Oryzias latipes: one gene and its partners. The protein of the gene in region 3 binds, or shares a complex with, the protein of the main gene of each other region. Links are inferred from orthologs where the notes say so. Each region holds a gene or a part of one and is shown on either strand. Other genes may lie near its edges. The genes, in order: tmem107, tctn1, b9d1, transmembrane protein 216, tmem67, cep290 and mks1.

The links.
Region 1: b9d1 (region 3) and tmem107 share a complex: the UniProt entries of both Homo sapiens proteins name them as parts of the tectonic-like complex. The link is inferred for Oryzias latipes from reciprocal best matches to the Homo sapiens genes B9D1 and TMEM107.
Region 2: b9d1 (region 3) and tctn1 share a complex: the UniProt entries of both Homo sapiens proteins name them as parts of the tectonic-like complex. The link is inferred for Oryzias latipes from reciprocal best matches to the Homo sapiens genes B9D1 and TCTN1.
Region 4: b9d1 (region 3) and transmembrane protein 216 share a complex: the UniProt entries of both Homo sapiens proteins name them as parts of the tectonic-like complex. The link is inferred for Oryzias latipes from reciprocal best matches to the Homo sapiens genes B9D1 and TMEM216.
Region 5: b9d1 (region 3) and tmem67 share a complex: the UniProt entries of both Homo sapiens proteins name them as parts of the tectonic-like complex. The link is inferred for Oryzias latipes from reciprocal best matches to the Homo sapiens genes B9D1 and TMEM67.
Region 6: b9d1 (region 3) and cep290 share a complex: the UniProt entries of both Homo sapiens proteins name them as parts of the tectonic-like complex. The link is inferred for Oryzias latipes from reciprocal best matches to the Homo sapiens genes B9D1 and CEP290.
Region 7: b9d1 (region 3) and mks1 share a complex: the UniProt entries of both Homo sapiens proteins name them as parts of the tectonic-like complex. The link is inferred for Oryzias latipes from reciprocal best matches to the Homo sapiens genes B9D1 and MKS1.

Annotation. Positions count from the first base shown.
Region 1 is NC_019874.2:18,549,684-18,553,675, reverse strand, and holds tmem107 (transmembrane protein 107), read right to left. Parts: upstream 2,571-3,992; 5' UTR 2,264-2,570; coding exon 2,177-2,263; intron 1,847-2,176; coding exon 1,779-1,846; intron 1,698-1,778; coding exon 1,597-1,697; intron 1,356-1,596; coding exon of another isoform or gene 1,259-1,355; intron 1,183-1,258; coding exon 1,086-1,182; intron 923-1,085; coding exon 853-922; 3' UTR 501-852; downstream 1-500. Other genes in the region: tripartite motif-containing protein 46, read left to right, coding at 3,062-3,121, 3,832-3,992. UniProt on the Homo sapiens protein: Plays a role in cilia formation and embryonic patterning. Requires for normal Sonic hedgehog (Shh) signaling in the neural tube and acts in combination with GLI2 and GLI3 to pattern ventral and intermediate neuronal cell types.
Region 2 is NC_019868.2:27,624,984-27,629,228, forward strand, and holds the start of tctn1 (tectonic-1), read left to right. Parts: upstream 1-1,445; 5' UTR 1,446-1,528; coding exon 1,529-1,796; intron 1,797-2,845; coding exon 2,846-2,963; intron 2,964-3,467; coding exon 3,468-3,601; intron 3,602-4,245. UniProt on the Homo sapiens protein: Component of the tectonic-like complex, a complex localized at the transition zone of primary cilia and acting as a barrier that prevents diffusion of transmembrane proteins between the cilia and plasma membranes.
Region 3 is NC_019866.2:15,984,757-15,988,856, forward strand, and holds the start of b9d1 (B9 domain-containing protein 1), read right to left. Parts: upstream 2,801-4,100; 5' UTR 2,661-2,800; coding exon 2,598-2,660; intron 2,468-2,597; coding exon 2,399-2,467; intron 2,280-2,398; coding exon 2,171-2,279; intron 2,066-2,170; coding exon 1,969-2,065; intron 1,899-1,968; coding exon 1,836-1,898; intron 1,392-1,835; coding exon 1,324-1,391; intron 1,131-1,323; coding exon 1,003-1,130; 3' UTR 1-1,002. UniProt on the Homo sapiens protein: Component of the tectonic-like complex, a complex localized at the transition zone of primary cilia and acting as a barrier that prevents diffusion of transmembrane proteins between the cilia and plasma membranes.
Region 4 is NC_019868.2:30,553,169-30,557,367, forward strand, and holds transmembrane protein 216, read right to left. Parts: upstream 2,801-4,199; 5' UTR 2,251-2,800; exon of another isoform or gene 2,128-2,250; 5' UTR 2,053-2,127; coding exon 2,043-2,052; intron 1,745-2,042; coding exon 1,731-1,744; exon of another isoform or gene 1,660-1,730; coding exon 1,566-1,659; intron 1,542-1,565; exon of another isoform or gene 1,461-1,541; coding exon of another isoform or gene 1,421-1,460; coding exon 1,328-1,420; intron 545-1,327; coding exon 343-544; intron 277-342; coding exon 261-276; 3' UTR 141-260; downstream 1-140. Other genes in the region: transmembrane emp24 domain-containing protein 9, read left to right, coding at 3,036-3,168, 3,684-3,784, 3,987-4,112, 4,189-4,199. UniProt on the Homo sapiens protein: Part of the tectonic-like complex which is required for tissue-specific ciliogenesis and may regulate ciliary membrane composition.
Region 5 is NC_019874.2:17,683,327-17,687,480, reverse strand, and holds the start of tmem67 (meckelin), read right to left. Parts: upstream 2,801-4,154; 5' UTR 2,768-2,800; coding exon 2,566-2,767; intron 1,699-2,565; coding exon 1,604-1,698; intron 850-1,603; coding exon 759-849; intron 634-758; coding exon 534-633; intron 1-533. UniProt on the Homo sapiens protein: Required for ciliary structure and function. Part of the tectonic-like complex which is required for tissue-specific ciliogenesis and may regulate ciliary membrane composition.
Region 6 is NC_019864.2:2,301,316-2,304,815, forward strand, and holds part of cep290 (centrosomal protein of 290 kDa), read right to left. Parts: intron 3,492-3,500; coding exon 3,286-3,491; intron 2,196-3,285; coding exon 2,044-2,195; intron 1,589-2,043; coding exon 1,477-1,588; intron 1,224-1,476; coding exon 768-1,223; intron 694-767; coding exon 529-693; intron 163-528; coding exon 58-162; intron 1-57. UniProt on the Homo sapiens protein: Involved in early and late steps in cilia formation. Its association with CCP110 is required for inhibition of primary cilia formation by CCP110.
Region 7 is NC_019872.2:25,021,724-25,025,223, reverse strand, and holds the end of mks1 (Meckel syndrome type 1 protein), read right to left. Parts: intron 3,286-3,500; coding exon 3,216-3,285; intron 3,147-3,215; coding exon 3,039-3,146; intron 2,921-3,038; coding exon 2,787-2,920; intron 2,218-2,786; coding exon 2,135-2,217; intron 2,050-2,134; coding exon 1,952-2,049; intron 1,769-1,951; coding exon 1,665-1,768; 3' UTR 419-1,664; downstream 1-418. UniProt on the Homo sapiens protein: Component of the tectonic-like complex, a complex localized at the transition zone of primary cilia and acting as a barrier that prevents diffusion of transmembrane proteins between the cilia and plasma membranes.

The DNA of each region.
Region 1 (3,992 bases), on a different chromosome or scaffold from region 3:
TGCAGGGCCTGATTCTGTTTATCACAACTGCAATGGTTTGTCCGCAGCTGCATGCAGAAAAGCAGAAGGGAGGGATCATTACGTCAAAAAACCTTTCTTTTTTAGCCTATATTACAAAATTGACAAAGTCTTTTGGATAAGAGGTGAAACGTTTTCTAACTTTAAAAACTAAGAGGACAGCCCCTAAACTTACTACTATGATGGAATCAACCTGGATGAAAGAGAGTCTTCATAGACATAATTCTTCTATATTACAACATGTCTCACTACATTAATAATTTAGGAAAGGATTTTTCCTCCCTAAATCAATTTTAAATACTGTTTCTTTTTTTTGATAGCTGCACAAAAATGAAGTTACTGTTTCATGTTTTGTAACCTTGCGGTTCTGGATACTCTTGTCGCCCGACTTTAATTTATCTTCTGGCTCAGTTTGGTTAATATTTCTCTGACAATTAAGTCACCAAATGAGGATAAAGATAGATACAATGAGAGAAATAAGACTTATTTAAAAAAGTATAAATGTATTTTGGATTTAGCGTTGAAAAGCTTTACATGAGAAACAAATACACTACTGACAACAAAAAACTTGGTTTACATTTTAAACTTTTGCTAACTCTCCAACTTATTCAAAACAAACAACATAGTATAATTATTTTTTGTAATTACATAGTTCAAAATATATTTACAAAGATTGAAAAAAAAAACATTCTTTCTGGATCTATTGATGCCTGCTGAAGAAATTCTAACAATGTTGGCCCCTTTTTAAGGTGATCTAATAACTGAATTTCTGCAGCTACTGTCTTGTAGCAACAAATGGAAGCGTTCATCCATTCAATCTGAATCAACTCCTCTTCATAACGGCTTCTTCTTCAGTCCAAAAACCGCAATAAACAGAAGAATCTCCACAAAAGCTGGCAAGACACTGAAAGATGAGAAATAGAAAAAGAAATTAATAGAAATCCAGAAAGATAAAAGAACAATCCTTAAATGCATTCAAATTCCTTCAAAATAAGAGTGACTGTTACAGTATGCTGTCTTTCTAAAAGCCAACTATTCATTGAAAACAAGCATGCAGGCGAACCAACCTGCAGGTGGCAAAAATCACCCAGTAAGTCCAGCATTCCCATTGTTCAAACACAAAGAAAGACAAAGATACGGATGCGGAGCAGTGGACAGCTAATGCTGAAAGGAGCAGCTGTCAGGGAAAACTTTGGGGAAAAAAGGATAAAACGGATTTGCTAGGCGTCAAAAGACTAACCTGCAAATAGCAAAGATCCACCAGTAGATGTCACACTCCCACTGCTCAAACAGAAAAAAGAGCAAAGCCACAGAGGCACTGGCATGGACTCCTGTTGCTATAGCAGACAAGTTCTTAGTTACGGAATTGTAACTAATGACTAATAAGCATTGTTTAATCCATTCATTTATTCTTGTAAATCATGTTTTCTGCTATAAACCAGATGCTCATTTAGAAGCTAGAGCTGCTGGAGAAAAGACAATATCTGAAAATCTTTATTTTCCTCACAATTGTGAATCAATAGTTCAGTATCAATGACCATGACAAATATGAATCATCACTGTCAGTATAAAGGATACACAGAAGACCCTGGCTGGAACTGAACATGGAGACTCCTGAAAAGAAGCCTGCTAGCTCGATAGCAAACAGACCAAGAGTGGCTGACAAGGCTACAACCAACCTGAACAATAACCAAAGGGATGCGGGTTAGAATGTGAGCATTCAAGATTTTTTCATATATTTTCAATCATTTGTTACTTACTTTCTGTCTTCTGTGTCATACTGCTCCTGAGTAAACTCCAAAGGCAAACATGCCTTCACATTATTCTCCTAGAAAACAGAAACAAATACATAAAATAGCCGATTATGGTAACATTTCTAGATAAAAAATTGTTTATAAAAAAAAGGAGAAATAAACTTTTTGCAGCAAACAAAAATCTATATTTCTGCAGTTTAGGAAAAATATTTTGTGGAGTAGAATTTATTTCTATTTCACGATTTTTTTAAAAACTTTTGTTCTTTATTTTAAAATCACAAACTACACGTTATTGATATTTACAAAAAACAATAATAATATTAATAATAATAATAAAAAATATTTCTATGGCAGCTTGAGTCGTCCTTCAAGCTTTAACAACAACACGGACTGTCCTTACTTACCCTGGACCAAAAGATTGTGATGACGATGACAAGGTGAGCTATGATGGTGAGAAACCGCGCAGGAATTAGACTGCTAATAGAAGACATGTTGTTTCTGGTTCACAGAAGTGTCAGAAATGCTAGAAAATTCTAAATTTTAAAGCCAAACGGTCACGTTGGAGTTCACAGATCTCACACAACAGTCGTCGCTCCTGGTTCGCGGTATATCAACGCAACCGCGGTTCAATAAATAATCCAAAAATGATAATCAAGCATTTTTAAAGCCAATGAACTTATAAAATTAAAATTTTACTCTTTAATAGTCTTTTTTCTAAACAAAATTATACATAGAAATTTAACACACCCCGGTGTCGCATTGGGTTGCTACAACAGCCAGTGGCTGGGTGCATCCAATATTGCGACCCGTAAAAACATCCACCTTCCAAACGTTCCGGACACAAAAGGGAAGTGGATGCGACCCATCGCCTTTGTTGTTAAGCAGCACACAACACTAGCATCTAACGACAACACACACACAAAAATAAAACATGACAAAGTTAACGTGTGATTGTAGGATGAACATAGCCTCGCGTATCTAAAGAACGTAGAAAAGCCGATTTTTTTTTGTTTTTATTTTCTAAAAGAATGTTTTTTAAACGCTCCCCGATAAAGCTAACATTTTGGGGCAAAACGCCCCCACCCCCCTCCACCAGTTTCAGCAACCATTCCATTCGCATTTGGATAGACGACAGAGATTGAGCAGCACACCTCAAGCACAGCTATCTGTGCACGTCAGGGCCTAGTGTTTGCTACAAAACAGCCGGGGATTATTTTTCACACCCACTTAATAATCGTTTTAAACGAAACATTTTTTCTTTGGAAGCGTGCACATCAGAACAACAGAGCATGGCAGAAGAGGACTTCCAAACCTTTACCTCTGTCATGGACGCGCTGGTTCGTATCAGTGTAAGTGTGCGACGCCGGTTTATTCTAATATAGCCATTTCAAACGTGCTACATCTAAGAGAGGAAAAACAATAATGTAGTCTTACATATAACTTGCTTTATTGATAGTATGTTGATCTGGACAATCATGGCTATGAAATAAGAATGCGGAGCATTTTTCTACCGTTTACAAACATGTTTTGTCATCGCTTTAATAACCCGGAATAGGCTGAAAGCCACAGTCAGGTGGTGAATGGCAATAGAAAATATACAGTCGCAACGACCACATAATTCATTTTTAATAGATATAAGAACCTAAGAATGTTGCCAAATAGCATAAAATCAGGGCCAGAGGAAGATGTGCGTTGTCATAGAAACCGGATGCCGCGCCTTGTGGCTGCAGTAATGGAAAGGGGCCACCACAACCTAAAAAAAAAAGAAGCAACAATCAATGGCAAACAGAATGTTTCTGCATTGTTTGAATTGTTTTTTTTTATTAAAAATAATGTCTCAGCCAATTTACTCTTAGAAATAGGAAGCAGTGAAGCAATCACAGGAGGACTGCTAAGCATCATGGAGGTTACGTTCTTCTTTCCTTCTTGTCCTGTGCAATAAACGGCACACAACCAGAGTTCATCTAGATATTTCCTTCATCACTGCCATCATTTCCTTTCTTTAAATCAAGTCGCAGCTCTGTTGTCTTCTTGAACTTTCCTCTTCCCTCTTCTCCAGTCCAACATGAAGATGATGGAAAAGGAGCTGCTGTGCCCGGTGTGTGACGAGATCGTGAAGCAGCCCGTCCTCCTGCCATGCCAGCACAGTGTGTGTTTGCTGTGCGCGGCCGAGGTGTTGGTACAAAGAGGCTACCCTCCTCCAGACCTCCCTCCGGAACC
Region 2 (4,245 bases), on a different chromosome or scaffold from region 3:
GTCTATTAACAGTCGACTGAGAATACTACAATTTAAATGGTTAATGCGTTTATATACAACACCAGTGCAACTAAATAAATATAATAAGAACATACCAGATGTTTGTGCAAAATGTGGATTTAAAGGCACATTGAAGCATTGCATGTGGGAATGTCACCAAATACAAATCTTTTTGGAAGAAGTTAAAATTACAATAGAAAAAATAATCTCAAAACAACTTACATTGAGCCCTACCCTATTTCTTTTGAATATATATCCAGTGAAACATAATTTTAGTAATACAGAGAGTACATTTATTGATATCAGTTTCTTAACGGCTAAAAGGTGTATTGCACAGGCTTGGAAAAACATGAGCAGACCTAGCATAAATCAGTGGCTAAAACAAATGTTGTATTGCCTTCCTTTGGAAAGAATAATGTATATCCATAAAAGCAAACAACACCTATTTGAGGAAATTTGGGGACCCTTTATTAATTATATTCAAAAATTAGAACTAATAGATGATTCAACAGATTTTTGATCTCAACTGCACAGAATTTTGCAACCACAGTTTAAAAGCTTTTGAAAAGGAGAGCTGTGATGGTATCATGTAAGAGAAGCAATGTTCGTTGTTAAGTTTTGTTTTATGTAATTATTTTTATTTGTTTGAGTGCAGATATTTGTTTTGAGTGAAATGTCATACAATACAGTTTAGTTTTTTTATTTTTATTTTTTTTTTTTTTATTATTTTATTTCCTTTTTGCTTTTTGTCTTTTTATAAGGAAAACGTAACTGGTATTATTGAAGTTGCTGTGTTGTTATGACTAATTCTTTAAATAAAAAGTTGTGGAAAAAAAAAAAAAAAATCAGATTATTTAATGGTGGTGTGTCCCTTCAAGTTCTCGTCAAGACTAAATAAGTCTGTTGTTCTTTAAATTTGCACGTTAAAGAGGTCTTTCGCTTTAAAAAGAGTTATTTTCTTTGTTTGTTTATTGTTTAACCCTTGTGCTATCCTAGGCACTTTAACATTGGGAGTTGGGTCATCTAGACCCACTAGACAGTGCCCTGAACCTTTTTTCTTCAATGATTTGTGATCTTCACTGGTGTCCATGGATTACATGAAATCTTTCCACCTTTATCCACCTTTGTCATGGTAGGGAGAACACGTCAATGGAAGGGGGGGTCATCTAAGATAGCCCAAGGGTTAAAAAAGCCTCATTTCAACTTGTCTTATAAAAGTAAGACTAAACATGTTTTATGAATTATTTCGTTTGTTTATATGACTAAATGTTATATTCAGTCTGATAAATTAGAGATTAAACTTCTACATATTTCCAATTTTTTCAGAATATCACAGAAACAGCACAGTGATCAACAAAATATTGTTTGATTTTTTTTTGTTTTTTTAGGGATAACAGTTAAATGTGTTTCAGGGACCTTGCATTCATGCAACTGACCGGTAGGTGGCAGCCTATACGAACTGAAAGCCCACGAGCAGAAGCGAACAGCCGAAGAAGAGCAACAACCATAGCAACGGTCTATAACAAGTATGGCGGCGTTCGTCTTTTTAGCTTCGGATTTTTTTTTTATTTTCCTTTTGATTGTTACTGTAAATTCTAACGAAAATTCGACGAGCAGTTATTTTAACTCGACTGCGTGGGATGACCTAAACTTCACATCTGGAACGACGTTTGTTGCATCCACGGAGTCGACGGTGTTGAGCTCAACAACCCGGACCTCCAGCGGTACGGAGCCGCCGCCTCTGCCCGCCGAGCCCCTGCCTGTCTCCGGCCGCCTCCCCACTCCAGTGACCGCTGGTGCGTGTCCTTGAACGCAACACCGTTTTGTTTTGTTTTTGTCTAAAGTAACTCTATTGACGTTGCAAACAGTCCTTAAATTATTTACTTTAACCGTTTTTAATCTTTTTGAATTGCTTGTTCATTTTCTCAAAAAAACCTGCAAGGACCAGGTTATGCAAATGCTTTTCTGCAACTTTGAGCAAAACTTTCTTTAGTTTTTACAAGCTAAGAATCTCAGCAAAATTTGATGAAAGTGAATTTTTAACATAGTGAACAACATATTTCACACATACATCACCAGGTTAAGTCTAAAACCACAACTTTCATTGACCTTTGACCTTGCAAAGAAGCCCCCATCTTGAATTTTTCTTAAAACAGTTCTCTAGTTCACATTTAAACGCTTGGCTTCTACGTCCATGACCCCGTCGGGAAGCTACTTGGGGAAAAAAATCATTGGTTTTAAGGTTTGCAGATTATGAACAGCGTTAGCGTGGTGAGTTTGCAGAAGTGGCGTTTCCCTGTTTTTTACGGGAGCATTGTGAAAATCTAATACATTAATCGTTGGCCCGAGCTAAACAAAATGATATGTCATAACATATGTACATATTAGGAATGAGGGCGTGGTTAGCACATAACCTCCGTTGCCAAGCAAATCTAAAAATTTACTTTTGCCGATCTTTCTAAAAGTTATATAGATGCGTCCGTCACCCCCAGGCGATCAAAAAATTGAATGGTTGCCATGGAGTTAAAACTGACAGAAAAGCCACCAACTTTTTTTTCCCATAAATTTGTCCCGGGCAGCTCTGACCAGGCTTGCAGGGACAATGAGGGCTGTGAAGCAGTGAGGGCCGCTTTCACAACTTCAGTCATTATGTTATTAAAGTTTAAAAAGCAGCTTCATGATCAAAATACCAACATTTAAGGCTTCAAGATTCTGTGCTTGTTGTTGTTTGTAATCCTTTTTTGCTGCTGAAATCAAAAAAGGTGACCATTTCTTATTTGATATTTAAACTTCTCATCGGAGGATAGTTGAACTCTGACCTTCTGACCTCAGCTCTGTGTTTCAGTCGACACGCTGTGTCCCTGTGATGAGCACACGGACGCGTGTGACATCAGCTGCTGCTGTGATGCTGACTGTCAGCAGGAGGTGGCGCTGTTCACCAGCTGCTCAGTCACTGACGTGAGGTGAGTTTCAGCCGGAGGGAATCAATATCCAACACACTACTGCCCACCCATACGTTCAGGGGAACACATGTTTGCTTCTCATGACGTTAGGAATGTCAGCCGTGACCCATCATGCTTTGCCAGTCCACACCGTTATGGTTCCTGTTTGAAGAAGAGAAAAAATCGTTTCTTTTAAACCCACAGCTGTGACTCAAAGATCTGCTTCACCTTTGTTGACATTTTGAATATTTGAATGAAATGAGCTCCTAAGTGCAGATTAAGGAAACTTTCCATTTTTATACATATATAAGATTTTTTTTTTTAAAAGACGGGGAAAATAGGATCATTATGGCTCATTTACCTGTTCACAGGTAAAATCACCTGAGACAGCAGCACAAAGACAGCAGACAAGCTCAAAATTAAAAATAAATACTCCATAGTGCTTCATTTCTGGCTGGATTTCTGTTTTGGGTGTTTTAAGTCAGATTTAATCTCAGTTTTTCATTGTTATTTCTTCACTCACAGTGACAGCAGGCAGCTGTGCAGCCGCGGCGTGGCGAGCTACGCTTTGAGAACACGAATTGACGGTTTTTCCGAGCTTCTCACCTCCATCAAAAAGGAGACAAACTATGACCTTTTCTGCATCCATTCATACAACCGTGAGTCAGAGCTCCTCCTGAAGCTCATGTTTATGTTTTTACACACATTCTGAACAAAATTATCTGTATTTTAAACTTTCATTTAAACAAAAAAAAAATCAATGGATGATTTCTGAAAGTCAAGCCTGCAGGTTTCTGTCACATTTCTACAAATATGTCAGAATGATGTTGACATTTAGTTTGTCTTTTAAAAATTAGGGCTTTATTCGAGAAAAACAATTCCAGAAACAGCCAGTTTTTTAAGTAAAATCTGCTAACAGGAGCTGTAAAAACAGCAGAATTCAATTGTCTTAAATGCCGAAAATTAACTCATTCAAACACATTTTCTTCAGAAGTTTCCATATTGAATTTTTTATTTAATATTTTCACGATATCTGTTTTTTATCTAAGCCTTAGGATTTCAAGAACTTCATCCACTTTCATATTTATTTACCTTTTTACGTACAATTTAAGGAATTGAGACAGACGCCCAATTTTCTGCTTTTATTGTCTTTCCTGTCAGAAAATCTTCTTTTCAATTTATCTCTTTTTTTAAAATGTTGTTTACTACATTTCTCCATCTGTTTTGCAAATGTTAATTGAACTTTGTTTCCACATTGATTTTTTTTGCCGTATTTGCAAACACTCTCACATACCTGAAAGGT
Region 3 (4,100 bases):
AACCGGTAGGTGCAGCGTCTCCACCTCTGATGGTATTGGAGGAAAAAGAGGGATCTGCACCTGCTGTGTTCTGAGTCAGCTCTGTCTTCAGTTGGACTTGCCAGCATTTACAGTGGGAGCTTTCTCTCGGAGTGGTTTGGCGCCCCCTCGTGGTTACCTATGCTATTACATATATATTAGGCTTAAAATGAGGGATCGCTAAAGCTGCGTTTGATATTTACTCTGCAGCGAATGTTTTTTTCACTCTGACAAAAAAGATGCAAATATTTGAGTAAGAAAAAAAAACAAAGAAGCTCAATGCTACGTTTGTCTTTTCAAAATAAGATTTACTAAAAAAATGTTTCTGGAACAAACACCAAGGAAGCCACTTTCCTACAGAGTAACACTTTAAAACAATATTTTTTCCAGTCTGAACAGATAAAACATCATTGCATTTGTTTAGGCAATGACAAATGATAGAAAATAAAGGCGAAATGTAGTGAGCTCTTGTGTTTCTGCTTCTATAAAGAGGACCGACTGACCTTACAGGCTGTATTTCTATACATATTCAGACTCTTGGTTTTTCTCTTTCATGTGCGTCCAGTTACTTTCTCATAGCACTGGGTGCAGGCTGCTTCTTTTTTTAAAAATGTTTATTGGATTTATACTCCCCCCCCTGTTGGCATTATAACTGTATGATATAATTTATCATTTGTACTATTGTAACATACTGTTTTTCTCTATTCCCTATCATTCTGTGTAATGGGTTTATTTTGTAGGAAAAGTCGTTGTGGTATTTTAACGGCATCTAAACAAACGAGCGCAGCAGGCGGATGGAGGAGGGCGGGTGTAGCTGCGTCGTTTCAAAATAAAAGGTTTCACTGCAGCTCCACTGTCTTTGCTTTTGTGTAGTCTTTCAACCAAATGCAGCACTTGGTGTTTATTAAAAAAACTGTTCTGCAAAACAATATATATAGAAATATGCATTTAAGTACAAATGTATAAAAAGATTTGAGGCTTGTGTTAGAAAGCGTCCACGCCACCAGCAGTCTGGGGGTTGGACGGTCCCGTGTCGTAGCCCATCTTCTTCATGTCTTTGGTGGTGATGTGGAAGGAGACGGTGACAAAACCTTGAGAACGAACTCTTGTTACTGCAGAACAAACACGACAGAGCGGGACTTTAGTCTTTTTGTCATTTCAAATACAAAATAAGTAAAAAAAAGGATGGGGGGGTTTAAAATAAACACTTTTATAATAATTGATTTGGTTTAGAAGCACCTCTGGGACACATTTCAAAGTGAACGACTCTTGATGCAGTAGGAAAATAAAAGATTCCTCACGTACCTTCTCTGCCTTCACCCTGCGCCACTACTTTAGGGTCTGTGTACTCCGGTCTTCGCCCTAGCAACCAGCTAAATGGGGGGAGGGGGGGGGATTTTTTAGTACTTTTAAAAAGTTATGATGAAAAAATGTTTTGTCTTACATTTATGTTGCTTTTCCCCAAAATTTTGAGGAAAGTTGCTTTTAAATTTATAACATTTTGACAAAACAAGAACCAGAGACTGCACAAGAGGAGCAATACACCTACTTTACATAAAAAAGGAAAAGAATGTTTGTCCAATAGTGGGGTTCAGCTAAATTAAGGTCCTAAAAATATCTTTTTTTCTAATGAATTACAATCTGTGGTTTTCTAACATGATGCTAACAGGAAGTAATAGATATTAATGGGAAGCATGTTCACCGCAGAAACCCATTATTGGGTTTTTGATGGAATCAAACCCCCACACTCAGGGGAGGGGACAACATTCGATTAGAGCTCAGCTGCTGTCTTTAGTCTTCACAGCAAAACGCCTCACCCTGTGAACTTCTGGAGTCTCCATGTGGGCTCGGGAACAAACATGGGAATGGTTTTAGTGTGTCTATGGAGAAACAACAACCTGTGGTTAAAGGGGAAAGACAAAGAAGAGGTTTCATGGAGGTGAGACTTACTGTCCGGGTGTGATAGGGATGTGGGTCGCTCCATAGCCCCTCACCACATCATTGCCAAACACATCAGGTCCATACACACTGATCACAATCTGAGGCCCTAAAAGACAAAAACAATTTAAAAAAATCATTTTTAAAACGCAATCCTTGAATAATCAAGTGATTCATCATAAACTCAGTCTGTGGGGGTTTTTGTGAGGCTCACATCCAGATGGATTGGTGCTCTTAAACGTTGTTTCCAGAGGAAAGTTCCAGACTAAAGTCCGTGACAAACTGCTTTTACAGGTGATCTGGGTGATGCCCTCTTCTAGACCCTGCAATAAATAAAGCCTAAAATTAAAAACAACCAAACCACGCATACTTTAAAAAAGGCTGTTTTATGAGGAATTATGGGTAATATGCCCCTATCAGACGGCTATAGACGCGGACTCACCGTCGTAATGGCCCAGTCGTGTCCGTAAACGTAGGAGTATTTGCAGTAAAGGCTGTCATACTCTGGAAACTAAATAGCAGAAAACATTTTAGAGTAATAAAAGAAATCAAACGAGGGGAAAATATCTGTAGCTCGCTAGATGTGGCTAAAGCTAGCTAAAATATTAGCTAACATGCTAAGACAAAGCCGCAAAACTCACGTTCGCTCCCTCTATTTGTCCGTTTACAGTAAGAAGGAACAACGACGGGTTACTCGAAGCCATCTATTAACGTCTTCTTTAATTCCTTCACAAACTATCATTTAACGCTAGTTTTAAACCCGTTTGTAAGAGGAAATTGATTAAACTCGCAGCCGTTGCTAAGGCAACGCGTGTTTTTCCCTACGGAAACCCGCCAGAGTCAAACAAAACGAGAGCGCGTTAAAATAAGAACCTTTACCGCCACAAGATGACAGCATTGTTAAAAAGAAAAGCGCTTCATTAAATGCCGCAGACTAAAGTCACATAAGGAGATGTCATCAAGCATTAACAAGAAAACAATAATTAATCGAACTGTATCAAACTAATTGTGATTTTAAGCGGCATTTTGCCTTGTTTTTGTCCATTTATTGTTATTTTTTTATTTTATTTTTTTTACACCGTCATTTTTGTTGATATTCGGACTACCGTTTTGCTTGGTTTATGAATAAAAAAATTATGGAAAAAATTGAGGAAATTTGTATCAATGAAAAGATTTATGTTTTCTCAAATTAATCAACATCTTTTACACATTTGGAGCCCTTATATTAAGCGAAAACTTTCTTGATAAATTATACATACATTGCAAATGTGTTTTTTCAATTTCTACCACTTTCAATTGAATCCTTTGCTCCAATTTCCCCTAACTTCTTTCTCTCCCATCCTTGCTTTTCTCCATTGTTTTCAGTTCTCGTCCACCTCCTTCCTTCTCTCTTTTTTCCGACCTTTCTAATATTTGTTCGGCCCCTCACAACTTTTTCGCCCTGTTCCTGTGACTTCCTCCTCGTCCCTCTGACCTGCTTTCGTTCTCCTCTTCCCTCCTCCTTGCTGCCAAATCCCTCATTTAGAGTCTAATGAGCAGCAGCCCATGTTTTCAGCTGGTCAATTCAAAGAGGTCATCTGGTCCACAAGGGCTCATGATTCTCTGCAACTGCTTTGCACAACCCTTCTGTGACAATATGAAGCCATAAATGATGAAAATGATGAGATGAACAGGAAACACCCCCTCCATCCGGCATCTGCGACCTCCTTTAAGTCCCTTTTCGTGATTGATAGTGACACTTCACACTTCTTTCGAGAACAGAGATTTTTTTCCCCTTTTTGTTCAAGTCAGTTCTGCCAGAGATATAATGGAAATCAGTCCCTAAAGAGGCCTTCACCGATTTCACCAGAGAGCCAGATTCATTCCAAATATGAGTGGCTGAAAAATGGATCAAGAAAAACAGAGGAGCAGCAGAGAAAACACTTTAATGGTCACAAAATGTCATTTCTAATAATGATGAACCAGGGAGTCACATTTTCCAGATATGTGGGGAAGAACATGGAAAAGCATATATGGCAGAAAGGAGATGGGGGTAATTAGTAAAGAACCGGAGAAGAGGAGCAATCAAAATTGGAGAGGAAGTGGACACAAGGTATGAAGATAAGCTGATGACTAAATATTGAGTGAAGTGCAAATTACATAGC
Region 4 (4,199 bases), on a different chromosome or scaffold from region 3:
GTGATTCCTAAGAAAAGAGGACGGACAGCCTTCATGCAAACACAGATCAAAGGTTTTCCAGCTGAAACTCAGACCTGTGGAGGTTCTAGTGGCCCGTGGCCGGCTTCATCTGATTTTGGTGACACACAGAACTCACAAAGCTGCAGAAAAATGTTTATTTACAAAAATCCCTGAAGAATCACAGAAACTTGTGTCAGCGGCACATATGCTAACAACTGTCCTGGTGTCCCTCTGGGCTCCAGAGAACCGCTCTTCTGTCCTCAGTACACCTTGGACCTGCACAAGAACATCGAGGGTCAAAGACTTCCCGGCTCTCAGAACCGGCCTGCGGGCTCAGGGTACCTGGAGAAGGAAGATAAGGCGATGAATCCCAGCAGGAACTCCAGGCCGTAGAAGCAGAGCAGGACGGCGCAGAGCAGGAACTCCAGCCGCAGAACGAAGGTCTGCAGCAGCAGGTAGTAGACGGCGAGCGCCGCACAAGAGACCAGGATGAAGAGCGACAGGCAGGAGGTCAGGGAGCGCTCACACAGGTTCCCCTTCCAGCCTGAATCGACACAGGGGGACAGCGTCAGCGCCTGCAGCCGGCCTTGAGAACCAGCACAGAGCCTGAGCGGCTGAACGCTTCGCCGCAGGTTTGAGTCTGATGTTTCCAGGCAGCAAACGTCTGCAGAGATGCTTTAACCCCTTCATGCCCACTGGTGCAAGGAAGAACCACTCCTCCTCAAACCGACTTTCATTTAGCCTCAACTTGAAAGCAAAAACACAACTGATCATTTTTTCATAGCTGGATATAAATTCTGGCGTGGGGGGGGGGGGGGGGGGTCATGTCACTTCCACAGACAGAACCCTGGAACCCAGGAGGAGAACCCTCCACCTCCGTCTGGGAGGCCGTCCAGGTGAAGAGTGAGAACGCTCTCTCCTCATTGGACCACCGCTCAGACGGGCGTGGAGAGGTTCTGCACCGAAGGTTCCGCTTCAACAGAACCTTCAGAGGCGGAGCTCCGAACACAACGATGAAGGTCACACATTCACACACGGAACCAAGCTTCTTCCTGCTTTGATCTCCAGCATCATCATCGTTTACACATCCCAGCATGCCTTTCATGCTCTGAAGTCCTTTTTAAATCTGAAAACCACATTCTTGGTCTTTCTGACACTTCCATGCTAGCATAGAACCGTGATTGTTCTGACGTTAGCTCATCCAGCACCAATGTCAGGCCCGTCTGCATCCTCTTCATCCTGCATGTTCCATCTTTGTTCTCCAGAACCTCTCAGCCGCACTTGCGGTTCTGGAGAAAGCAAAGCAGATGTTTGTGTTTGGCGTCACCGTAAAAGATGCGCAGAGCCTCCAGAGCGAGGAAGAGGAGCAGCAGGACCACATCCAGGACCAGATTGTCAGACGGGTACGGCAGCAGGATCCCTGCAGCGACACCAGCAGCAACCGTCAGACGCTCCTCCATGACGTCCAGCAGAGGAACAGAGGACAGGCTGGAGGTTCTACGACACCTTCGGCTTCATTCTCAGGTGAAGCCGTGGTGAACCTGCAGGGGGGCGGGGCCACACACCTTTGTAGATGAACATGAGGATCTCCGCCAGGTAGAAAGCGGCAAAGTACCAGCTGTTCAGGTAGAGCAGCACCTGCAGAGGCGTGGAGGACAGCTGAGGAGGCGTGGTCAAGGACAACTGCGGCTGGTGGACAGGCCCCGCCCCCTCTGACAGCAGAAGGATACGATTGGTCGGCTCCCTGCAGACGCGGTGAGACAAAAATGTTGTCAAACTGAGAGTGAAACTGAACGTGAGGCTTAAGAAGCGTTTAGGAGACGTGACGGTTGTTGGACCGGATTATCTTTAGCTTTAGACGGTGGTTTAAGAACGTTTCAGAGGTAAACACCGAGTGGGAATGTTTTTAGCCGCTAACCGGAAATCAACGGCGGACCGGAAGTGTTTCCGTCCGTCTCTGATAGCTGCAGAAAAATGACGGGGAAAGACGGCCTGCGGTTTTTGCGCCGTTCTTTCTGCGACGATGATAAGAAAACACTCACCAGGCGCCATGTTTGAGCCGCTGTGGTCGCTATGGAAACGGCTCTTCTTCCCTGGACAGCGTCAGGCGGGGCTCCGTGCTGCCCCCTGCTGGTCAGGATGAGCAAACAGAAGACACTAATATTTGAAACAATTTCACATTATTTTATTAATGGATGTTCTTCAGTTTCACCACTGAATCACTCTAAATACATAATTAGTCGATGTTACCTTTTATCATCAATGGTCTGAAATCACGTGACATGCGGGTTTCTGTTGCTGTTTCCTGTTGGACCCTCAGAGACCTCATTTAAAGAAAATAACTGTTCTTTCTGCGACATCAACATAGAAACACTTGATCATCTGTTTATTAAATGTATAAATACTAACAGGTTTTGGGAGGATTTCTTTTGGTGGTTCTCTTCAAATTTTCTTATTTCTATTTGGTTACAAAACACATTGTATTACACATTGTATTATTTGGAGTCGTTTCTGGTGATAACTTATTTAGTTTGGCATTTAATACTTTATTAATTTTTGGGAAATTTTTCATCTATAAAAGGCAGATTTTTACAAATCAAATCATTATTCAATACATTTCATAAAGAGATCTGTTTATATTTTAAATGCAATAAAACTGTCAATTTTCATTGAAGATCACATGTTAAATGACAATCCCTAGTTCTCTGAACTACGGTTCTAATGTTATTTATTTATTTGTCTTGTATCTTACTCTTTTTTTCTTTTGTTATGTCTTTCTATTGTAGTTACATGAATGTGTAATCCTTTGAAGTTGAATTAAAAAACCCACAGTGACTCCAGGAGGAGGAGGAACCTTCACAATCTGGTTCTGATGTCATCCGCTCTGCCCAGCACACAACTACAATACCCAGCTTGCCATCGCAGCGCTCTGATTGGTCGAAGGCGCGCCAGGGTTTACGTGGCACTGCTGCGGACGCGCAGACTCCGTCTGAGCTCGGTGGTTCCGGCTGGAAGACGGTTCGGTCCGGATCAGCATGCAGCCGTGCGTGTTGGCGCTCCTGCTGCTCGCGCTCTTCTGCAGCCGCGCGCCCGCGCTCTACTTCCACATCGGAGAGCTCGAGAAGAAATGTTTCATCGAGGAGATCCCGGACGAGACCATGATCATCGGTGAGCGGCTAAGCTAGCTGCCGCGCGGCTAACGCTCACAAAGTTCCGGTTCGCCGTCAAAAAGTTTCCCAACGCCGCCAGAAGTAGTTAGTGAACCGTTTGATGAACGGAGACGTTGGCGAACACCTCGTAGTAGAAGTTGGTGAGGATGTAGGATCGGTCTTTTACCGGGGAACGGAGGACGGTTTAAGCTAACTTCATCCTATCAGCACGCGGATAACAAACCAAACCGCCTGAAGAATCCAGCCCGTTCCCCGAACCTAGACCAGGAACCCAAGCGGTTCTCCTGGAGAATGGGCAGGCAGCTCCTCCAGGAGGAACCAGCAGGTGGAGGTCCGGACCAGAGTTGATGATGGTTCGTTCTGAAGGAGCTGTCTGGGACCGGTCGCTCCCTGAGGTTCCTGCAGAACCGGGAAAGCGGGTCCAACGGTCCTGACCAGCGCGTCCAAGGACCGGAAGTGCTGCGTTCAGCCGGATGTTGTCACTGACTGTGGGGCGCTTGTGTTTGTGTGCAGGAAACTACCGCACGCAGCTGTACGACAAGCAGAAGGAGGAGTACCTGCCGGCCAGCCCGGGTCTGGGCATGTTTGTGGAGGTCAAGGATCCTGACGAGAAGGTAAGCGCCGGAGGAGGTCCTCCTGACACGTTAGTGCCGTGATGCTCACTTTGAGGAAGGTCTCTTCGTTAGATGGTCTCTGTAACCACGGCAACCGCGTCCTGACCTCCGTAAACATCCAGAGGAGGACTTGGAGCTGCTGCTGTTAGTCTTCTGTGGAGGTTTTGGTGGAGTGGACTCTAAGCTCCTCCCTCGCCTGCAGGTGATCCTGTCTCGGCAGTACGGCTCGGAGGGACGCTTCACCTTCACGTCGCACACGCCCGGAGAGCACCAGATCTGCCTGCACTCCAACTCCTCCAAGTTCTCCCTGTTTGTGGGAGGAACGCTGGTGAGGAGGCGGTCGGCGTAAGCTCCGCCCCTTTACCTTCACACCCACGGCTTTAACCGCCGTCTGTTTGCCGCAGAGAGTTCACCT
Region 5 (4,154 bases), on a different chromosome or scaffold from region 3:
AACGTTTGAGATTTGTCCAGAACAACTTCTGGGCAAACTCAAAGTTTGAACATTCCTGCTGAAACTACCCATTTACACTTTTCAATGACACAACACAATTTTATAACACAAAAGTAAATATTAACACTCAGAGATAAAGATATGAGGAAATACAACAAATCATACATGTTTAACTATTTTTATATTTGTTTGAATAATGAAAATCGGAGCAAAAGTTTAAAAAAGATTTCATAGATATTTGTAGATACAACAAGAATATAAGAAATTGTCAAATTTGTTTTGCCCTATACTAAAACAAAACAAAAAAAAAATCACTTTTTTATTGACTTTTATTTTTCATTTCCACTAAAGTAAAGATGACCCACTATGCAATATAATGAAAATCGCTCCGCTTTGTAAATCCCTAAATATTTTTATTTAACAGTGCAAATGTAGCACAAAGCACCTCCTCTCAGAAAACTAGAGTTTTCTATTAAGTAAAATATGTTAAATGAAATTCTCATGAATATTAAGTCTGTACTGTATATAATTACCTGTCCCCATTACTGTTTGGTGCAGTGAAGGCAGGGCTGTCTCCAATGCATGCTTCACAACTGGCCTCATCAAAAAATGTGCCATTAATGTCTCTTTCAACTGAGAAAAAGAAGAAAAATTTATAAAAGTTTTCTACCAAAAAACTTACAATTACCCTTATTTACAGCTTTTAGGGAAAACCCTTTTTGTTGGGTTGTAAACCTCTCATTGTACTGGTAACTCACCTAGGATATTTCCAGATGGGCACTGGCAGTTGCCATTATCATCAAGTCTGCCGGGGCAGCGAATACAACCAAAGCCGTCTTTCGTTACTGCCTATAATAAAGGACAGGACACCAATAAGCACTTTTATTTATATCAATTGAATCGGTTAGTTCAAAAGGGGTCCAAGTCCAAGAGGTTTGTTAATCCAGGAAATGATTTTAATTGCATAGCTTAAAGGGGGGCTACACTAAATGATTAATACTTTACCCAGATTTAGCACCAGTTCATAGCTTACAAATGCTATAATATGAAGCAGCTCACTTTTATAATTTCAGAGGACTAGCAAACTAAAGTCTCTGGACTTGGGCCCTTCTTGAATTAACCCTTGTGCTATCCTAGGCATTTTATCCTAAGGAGTTGGGTCATCTAGACCCACTAGTCAGTGCGCTGAACCTTTTCTCTTCAATTATTTTTGAACCTCACTGGTGTCCATCTAAGATAGTACAAGGGTTAACCCTTGTGCTATCTTAGATGACCCCACCCTTGCATTGACAGGGGCGCTGCCATATTGGATAATTAGTGCTGCCATCTATGGGATAAAGCAAAACCCATGCAAGAAAGGCCCAAGTTCAGGAATTTTGCACTTAATGCATTTTAAATGTCAAGTATAGACAGTACATTACAACGGACTTGGGACTTTTTGCACATAATCAGATAGCTTTTCCCTTGAAGACCATAGAACATATAATGTCTCTATTTTGAAAAATTGTGGACTTGGGCCCCTTTTGAACTAAGTGATTCAATTGTGAAGTAGTTTTAAAAAACATGAATCAGAACATTCATTATGAAAGAAAGCTATACTTACAGGCTTGTCTGGGGGACACTGTTCACATGTAAACGGGACTTTGTTGCTGCTAAAATGTTTGGTCTTGTAACCCGTTTGACAAATGCAGCTCAGACCTATATAAGACAAGACATTTCTTTATAGTTTAGAATAATATTGTTTTCAATGGTGAAAGGAAATACTAATATTTAGTTAAATAAAAATCTTATTTTAAAAATCCTTGCAACAACTATATTGTGCATTTTGAATTTAAATTTAAAAAGAAAGAAACCCAGAGAGGCTGGTTGATGTTTTGATGAGGGTCAATTCAGATTCACACCGTCTCTCTAGATACAACAGTATGTTTAAACAAATCATACATTAATAGTGCAATCCTATATGGCCTCTCAAAGCAGGTCCATATAAGAACAGTCAGTGTACATTTATTTAAACTAGTTTGAAACATTTATCAGTTTAGAATAAAAATGATTAGCTTTCCTGTTTCATGAAAAATGAAATGAGACTAGCTTGTTCTGAACATTAAAGCTGAACAGAGTTTGCTTGTTTAGCTTTATGCCATTTTTCCTATACAAGTTAGGGAATATTTATGGTAATTCAATTAAACTTCTAAAAATATGATTTTTAGACCACATGCTATAACATGTTCTTAAAGGTTAAGGTTTTAAACTTTAAATAATCTTAAATAGTCTATAATATATTAGTGTGTACATATTAAAACATTATTTGGATTAACAAAAACTTTCTTTAAGAATAATTTCTTTATGTACATGATACAGTAAAGTAAAGGCTATCTTAACTGCTAGCAACAGAAAACAATTAGAACCAAATTGGCTTTTACTTCTTCGAGGTTGTTCAACAGCTGGAGCTTAACTCGTTTGAATGTAATTATCTGTTTTTATTTTTAGATATATACACTAATGTTGGTATGTTTACAGTGTGTACACTGTATCATGTAGCTTTATCGCGTGGTGATCGATACCCACCTGAAGAACTCTTGCGTTGATTTGCGCCGCATTTGGCACACGACAAACTCGAGATGTCGAAAAATTCGTTCACACCACATCCGGAAGGATCTTTAAAGGGGATAAGAAACTGCTGGCAATGGAAAAGGTGCGTATGAATCACATAAAACAATGTAAAACAAAACATCTGCCTGTCAAGAACAAGCGGCGTCCCCGTCGCCATGGTAAAAATGTCCTCCTTTTTACCCACAATCCTTTGCAACACGTCATGACGTAGGGCGTTCCAACTTAAAAAAAAGTTTAAAATGTTCTTTTGGGGAGAGAACATCTTGGAGACACCGTGAGGATAAATAAATAAATCACTAATGTTGTGAAAGAATAAAAAAAGACAACTCTTAAACTCTTTGAAGTTCTTTGAAGAATCTCAAAGATTCATAGACTAAATCAAATAATAATGGTTTTCATTCATACTTTTAAAAAGATGTCTTAACAGAGGATAACAATAATGGGATTCTCTGTAACGAAATATAGGCAGCTCTAAGGATTAATGTTGCCTCTTCCAGCAACAATATATATATGTATGTGTATATTTGACTATAATACTTAACCTTGTCCACAAGTAAAAATAAGTATATTTTTGTGACTTTCGACTCAGTGATTTTAATTTTAGCTCTAGTTTTTTTCTTGTTTGTTGATGTTCTGCTATTGATTACATAGACATTCAGAAACAACAGAGACTTTGAGTTGAGCTGGGGGGGGGGGGGGTACAGATAGCAGAATGATCTTTACCAATTTGACCTCGTAGTGAAACAATTTTAATTGAAAGTTTAAAGCTTTCTTTTTCAAAGACCAGAGGCTATTGTGGATTAAAATCTAACTTTTCTTTTTCTGTCACTCATTTCAGCTGGTCCGTCTTTGGGTCACAAAGAAGTCAATTTATGACCCAGAAACACTTTGCTTTGCAGACGACATCTGCCTCCTCAAACCATCCACCCAGACATATCATCTTAGCCTCAGACTAAATTATTTTGCAATATTATTTTTTTATCAAGGTTATTGTGAAGGTCTATCAAGCTCCTTCCTGAAGATGCAATCAATGAAAAAAAAAACTTCAGCTTGGACCTGATGTTTTTTTGTCAGTCTCCATGCTGTGAAAATCTTTGTGCATTAATTTTATTTTGTAAGGTTTAGCATTTAATATAGAAATGTAACATTGATTCAGGTTTTAGAAGATTTATTAGCACATTTAAAACAGATAGCCAATTTTAAATCTAAATATCATAGATGTATACAGGAAATCTTTCACTTTTACTTCAACCAGGTTTAGTGTGACCTAAGATCAATTTAAGTTCATCACCAGTACTCGTCCATTTCAAGTACAACCACATCATGCCCCAATATGTGCAGCTTATTAGTGTGATTTATTGTTTATGTCAGACTTCAAAGCAGTTGCAGGGGCTTCAAGTGTATTATCACCCAGCTAACTTTGGTTGACTGTGTGACTTACTTTTTTTGCAGCATATTTTATACAAACCTGTGTTTTATTCAAAAATTATATATTTGATAACTACATTTCCTCAACAAAAGGCAAAATGGAAGCTGTGATTTTG
Region 6 (3,500 bases), on a different chromosome or scaffold from region 3:
TCAAGCTCCAAAAAGGTGAAAAACCACTGATTTAACCAGCTGTAAGCGATGCTTTACCTCAACACTGCCGACGATCTCACTCTGGTGCTTCTCGTAGTCCTCCAGTTGGCGCTCCAACTCCACTTCCCGTTGGTCTCTTGCAAGCTGTTGCTCTTCGTTAAGCTTAATGTCGAAAAGTAAATTACTGTTAAAAAGCCTCCTTCTAAAACTGTTAACACAATTTAACTCCACATAAGTGCAATAATTCTTCTTCTGAAAAGGTTGGGACGCTGCAATATTCCTATTTATTTGTATTTTATACTTTGTACTTTTTTAAATCTAATTTTGTTCTCTTCTTAAATTTTGTCTTGCTCTATATTCACCCTGACCTGAGAGATGCCAAAGAAAAATTCAAATGTACTGTATGTGCAAACGGCAATTAACCTTGAACCTTGAACCTTTGTAATGAAATAAAGCCAAAGTATTCTATATATTAACAAAGTAGGTTTTAGCCAGTTTAAAAATGTCTGGAGATTTTTATTTTCTCACTGTTTGCAGCTGAACAATTTCCTCTTCCAGTGAGCGGATGGTTTGGTCCTGCTCTCCCACAAGGTTCTTCAGGTACCTGATCTCCTCTTTCTGGAATACCAGCTCCCTTCCTTTTCTCAGTTCCTGCAGTCGAGCCTCCTCCATCCTTTTGTGCCACTCAGTTACCTGTGTAAATAGCATACTTGTGTATAGAGTGAGCATAAGATAGGTCAATAGGCTCATATGTTTCTTCTACAAACCTTCTGTGCTCCTTTTGCATCCTTCAGAGTTGACATGAGCCCTTGTAGGCCTTGCAGTCTCAGTTCCAGTTCCTCGGCTCTTCCCTGGACCCTCCGCTTCTCCTCCTCAGCTTTCTTCATCTCCTCCTGGGCCTTCACTCTGTCCTCGTGGAGTCGCAGCATGGCTACAGAAAACTTCTCCTGCTGAGGAAGTGGCAGCGCTCCAGCAAACTGCCTTCGTAGTGACTGGATGGTCTGCCTCAGATGCCTCGAGCGATTCTTGGCCTCTTGGCGGGCGAGGAAAAGCGAGCGCTCGGCGGCGTCCAGACGCTGCTCAGCTCTTAGGATGTGGGCCTCCAGCTGATGGATGCGAGTTGTGGAGGAATCCAGTTTTTCCAGAGCTGCCGACTCACTGAGCTGCAGAGCAACAATGTGCTGGTGGAGCTTTGCGATCAGAGCCTTCTCATCTGACTGTGACTGAGAAGATATTGTAGTTTAATAACCACAATTCAAACAGTATTCTTTTGTCTGCTCCTGATTCTAAACGATTTTAATAAGGAAATACTAAGAAATGCAATTTTAAGCTTAATTTTCTTGATATATATCCTCAATCAACAGAAAAAAATGCCAAAAGAACATGTTAAAGACACCATTTTCATCTTTAACAGATGTGGTTTCTATAGATCATTTGGTGTAGTAGAGCCCCAAGCAAAAAAACCACTTCACGTACCTGATAATCTAGTATTTGTGTCTTCAAAGCTTCTACTTCTTTATCTTTAGACCTGTGTCTGGCCTGTAAAGCAGCAACCTGAGTCAAAGCAACTTCTGACACCTCCTGAAGCCTGTCAAAAAGAATAAGATATGTTGAGTGCAACTTAAGCAATAACAGAAAACAATAGGTGTCTTTGATCGAATGATTTACAGACACAGGGGATTGTGTTGATCCAAAAGCACAGAAAAGCTCATTTTACTTTGAGAACATGGATCTATAATCAGTACTTCAGCACTAAGATCAGATTTTCACTTTTTACAAACAGGGAAAGAAATATGCTGAGAGGCTGTTATGTTCACGATTCCAAAACAAATGTTGATTATAGCCCAAGAAAAACTCTCCAGCTTCTCCCATCAAAACCACAGCCAGGAGAACTTATCTAAAAAACCAGACTCAACAAACAACTCTAACTTTTAAAATTTATCACCAGATTAATGGCTGGAATGCTTACGTAGTTTTCAACACAGCTTGTTTTTCGTGATAAGAGCATATTGATAGATTTAATACCGAGATACTCGGACATACTTTGAAACTTCAGTCCGGAGCTCCACCTCAGCCTTTTCCAGCTCTGCGATCCTGGCCCTGTCAGCATCGCTCACAGCTTTGCCGATGCTTTGCGCCAACTCATCTCTTAGCTCTCGCTCAGTCTTTTGGGCCTCAGCATTCATCTTGGTCAACTAAACAAAAAAAAGCAAAGAAAGGATTTGATAAAAGCCATTGTAGAATCAAGCTCTATCTAAGAAAACATCAAGAGCAAACAGAGAAACAACAGTCCAGTTTCTAAGCTTTGTTAAGCTATGTACAAAATCGCCCTTGGATGTGCACTCAAGCAGTCACTTCCGATGAAAAGTCTGTGTAAAGTCAAACTGTGTTTAAAACCCTCGTGCATATCGTGTAGGCATAGCTACATGTTTCTACGACTGTGTTTGGGCTCCATGTGCTAAACGTGTGGCCATTGAACACATGTTGAACTTTGACAAATCAGGGACTCAGACTTGGTAGTGACGTATGGATGATGTCTCCTTGAATTTTTGGAAGTGCCAACCGTTTGGAAATTGATCATGGAGAAAATGGTAAGTGGCGTAAGCTTAAGTAGCGCTTTTCTACCTTCTTAGGCAGCCCAAAGCACTGCACAGCCTCAGATCCATTCACTCACTCACACACCGGCAGCGGCTTCACTACACTGGCACCAGCTATTAACCCCCAGGAGCAACGTGGGGTTCAGTGTCTTGCCCAAGGACACTTTGACAAATGGGTTGGCACGGCAGGAACTGACACTGTAATCTTCCGGTCATAGTTTGGCAGCTCTGGCTCTGCACCGCGGCCTACAAATGAATGATTGCATTTATGCCGGGCTGGAATTACATGACACCAAGTCTTTCATAAATTGGAATAGAGCTGTGAATAAAAAAGCATGGAGAAAGACATGCGAAATTTACACTGTTTGGATAATTCACATTGAGCTTCTTCCAATTGTACATGGCAGACATGTGCTGGTAAACAGAAAAACAAGAAATAAAGGAAGAAGCCCCTCCCTGAGCACGTTTCAGAACTCTCATTTAGCGCATTCTTGAACATGCATCATGTGCCCTGTGTCTGTTAGAGTCACAAACCAACATGTTGACATAGAAATCTGATCCCATAGGTTCTGGATGATGCATAATAACAACACTGAAATTATTTTACAAACAAAGATGGATATTTTTGGCTACAATGCAAGAATTTAGCTCCCTAAACATTTTTACGTCTCCTTTTTAAGTTTCCTACCTTGGCAAATTTGGACTCCAGCTCCAAGTTGCGCTCCTCCACGTGCTTCAGGGAGTTCCTCACATGCTCGTACATTTTGTGGGCATGCTCGGCTCTCTGCCTCTCATTCAGCTCCTTCATCTCTAAAGTGGTGATCCTTCTCGCAGCAGAGACCATTTCATTGTTGATTGTTGCCTTGCCTTCTTTATCTAGGCCTGTTTCTGCACCTGGAGACA
Region 7 (3,500 bases), on a different chromosome or scaffold from region 3:
AATTAATGACAATTTTTTAAGCCATGTTCATGTTGGTGTTTTTATTTGCTAGTTGTTTTGTTGTTTTAAACTATCAGAGCATCTTACTTTTAACAAGTAAACGTGCAAGACTGCAGGTGTTTATATTATTGATAGTTTAAAAGAAAAAAATGCAAATTACAATCTTTTTTACATAGTTAAAGATTAAATTGCAAGCACATAAAAGCCTTTCTAACCTAGGTCAGTGTTGTAAATCCTCATAAAATCAAAGAACACGTTCTCTAAAAATAAAATGCATTAGTTTCTTAACTAAATGACGCTTCACAAAAGATAAAAATCTATTTTTTTTTCATTTGATATTCACTGAGAAACAGCATACAAACAGCAAAGAAATCAATTAAGCTTTATCAAAAGCCCATTAGGGTCAACTACCACAATCCATGAAACCAATACTTTATTTTTCACCTGTAACTTATATACAGTGTGGCTTCAAAATTATAAAAATGACATAAAAAGTTGGGTTTGTTTTAAAAAAAAAAAGGATGTTGCTTTAATTAAAATAACAAATGTATAACAACAATGAAACTTCAAATATTTTGTAGCAAAAACATTTATTTGTAGAATTATATGCAATAAAATGCAAAAACTACCCCAACAAATTAAAATCAGCTGATTTTTTTTTCCTGACAGTAATCCTGAGAACATGATCTCTTTTAGCCAAACTGGCATCGTTTTTAAAATCCTATTCTGAACCAAGCACCATTCATCCCTGTATCAAGTATAGCAAAAGAACAGATGCATAAATTGTGCATAGGCTGATCAAATGAGAATGACGAGATCCTTAAGACCGGCTCTAAAAAGAAGGAGAAGACTATAGAGATTGCTTGATTTGTGAAAAAGATGTTTCAGGAGGATTTCAATTTCTATTTTTACAGTAGACTGTAACAATAGTTTTGTACTGTTAAGGGGCAGATCAATAATAATTTAACTGAGTTTAAATGAGAAAAAAGCTAAATGTCTTTAACTGAAAGTTGGTATGGTGCTTCATGGAACCAGGTTAAAGTAAAGCAGCAGAGGGTCAGGTAAATTGAGATTAGCTCTGAGAAGATCCTTTTGAGGGACATGAAGCAAGAGTCTCTGTTTTGCCCCAAATAGACCCGTTGATGTAGGGAAACGACACAAAGGCTTTCCTGGTTAGTGGCTAATTCAGCTTCATTCTGTTAATCACTAGGCTATTTCTGACAGTAAAAAGTAAGCTTTAGTAGATTTAAACAGCACCAGAACATTTCTCGTATCTGCGTACATCAGTAGGTACTGGCAGAACATGAGCGCAGCAGCTTCTGTAGAGGGCAGGAGGTGAAAAGCAGCTTAGAACTTGTAAAAGAGTTAATTGCAACAAAAAAAAACTCCCGAGTGGATTTTCAACAAGTTCCTTAGCCATTAAAAACTGCTGTGAAATTTGCCTGTAGTTTCTAAGGCAGGTGTGGTCACTTTTTCCACATTTTGGTGGATTGATGTATGTTTTGCATCATTACAACCTGACAAAGTGACTTATTAATCCTTAAAACATGAAATGTTCCACAGATGCTCACTGGACCGGTCACTAGAGAGTCATCTTTGCAAAATTCTGAGTCTGTGCCAGGATCTTCTTCCACTCAGTCCCACTGAAAGTTTGGTTTTCAGTCTCATGCTGAGGATTCCTGTTGGAGTTGGGAACCAGTGTTTATTACGCCTCTCGGAAAACTTTCTCTGGCCTCCTGCATCTTTTTCCTCGCTCTCTGAAAAGCCTCTGACAGAGAAAAACATGAAACGTGTTAAATGAAACTATTATTAACATTTAAATACAGCACATTTTAAATCCTAATTGCATCCCAATAGCCCAACAAATGTTGATCCCTAAATAAAGTTCAGACCTCCAGAATTTCAGTGCAAAGAGGCTTGGAAGTCAAATGGATTTTTTGTTTTTTTTTACCCAGAATGTTGCAAACAGCTCCTTGTTGACTAAATCCTCCCAAATGCTCAAAAACCTTCTGTCTCCTCCTTTTCAGAACAGCAGCATCCACAAATGCCCTGAAATGTACACACGGACACAAAAGACCACTGTAGTTATGTTGCTGGCAGACTGAGACCTGTTTGACGCTTACCTGACACTCACCTGGCTTGCTGGATGCAGTGCAGGTTAAAAGTGACGCTTCCTGTGGTTACAGTGCAGAAACCAAAGCGACTCAGCCTGTCCCCCTGATACAAAAATGTTAGAGAATAACAACAAAAAACATACACATACTGTAAATACTAAAACACCTTTGTTTCAATCATGTATCAAAAGCAAGTCCCTGTTTATCAAAAACCCAAAGAAATCATTTTTTTCAAAGTCTGTTGGTTATTCTGATATTTGCACTCCGTTAAATGGTTTCCACCAGAATGTCACAGTAAATGCAAATTATTGATTTTTTTATTCAAAAGTGTACAATTTAATTCAATATATAGCAGCAAAAATTAAAATAATCATCAATTTGTTTTCAGATTTCTATCCTAAGTCCAATTTTTTGGATTACTTAAATAGTGATTTAAAAAAAGAAAACGTTTAATTTTTGCTTTGACAAATAATATTCACAAAAATGTATTTCAGAAATGGAAGAATCAATAATTTTATTGAAGTTAGGATTGACTCAATTTCAACTGACAATTGAAACCCAGCTGCCCAAGGAGTATGTATCGATAAAATCACAACATATTTATTTAACTTTATACCTGATAAAAATCAACATCAATTGTCTAAAACTTTGTTTGAGCCAGCTTTGATTCACCTTGAATGTTCCTGGAGTTCTGACATAACTGTCATCTTCAAGCTCAGCAGAACCTCCAATAAAGAAGCGCTTCATTGCAGACACAGTCCCTGTCTGAACAGGCCTCCATGTGTGACATGTCATGGTATGTTTACCTGGTATACAAACACAAACAAGATGTAGAAACACTAACCATTTAGAAATCCCTTGATTAAATGTGAACAGTAACAAAATAAACTGAATTTAAATGAGATTTCAGGAAATACATCGTACCGGGCGTGGCAGGAAAAAGCAGATAACCATAGCCTTCCGTTCGATAGCGCTGCCAGAAGTCCAAGGAAAGAACCTTGAAGTAAATCACTGGCCACTGAGGAATGCCTTCTAAAGTAAGATAAAACCTGGATTCATAAAACATAAACTATGCTATAATACTTAACAGCTGATACTAACCTTCACCGTCTTTTTGCTTCATATAAAGAGCCTCAAAAGTGAAGGGATAGCTGAAGAAAGCCACATCTTCCTGTAGACGGAGAGTTTGTTGAGGGTTTAACAACTTCCACTCAAAAAAGTGGTTTAGTCTCTTACATGCAAGTTGTTTCTCTTTCGGCTTTTCCCATCAGGGGTCGCCACAGCGAACGAGCCGCATGGTAAACTTGGCAATGTTTTACGCCGGATGCCCTTCCTGACGCAAGCCTCTCAAAGCAACCGGGCTTGGGACCGGCACAGAGGTAGAGA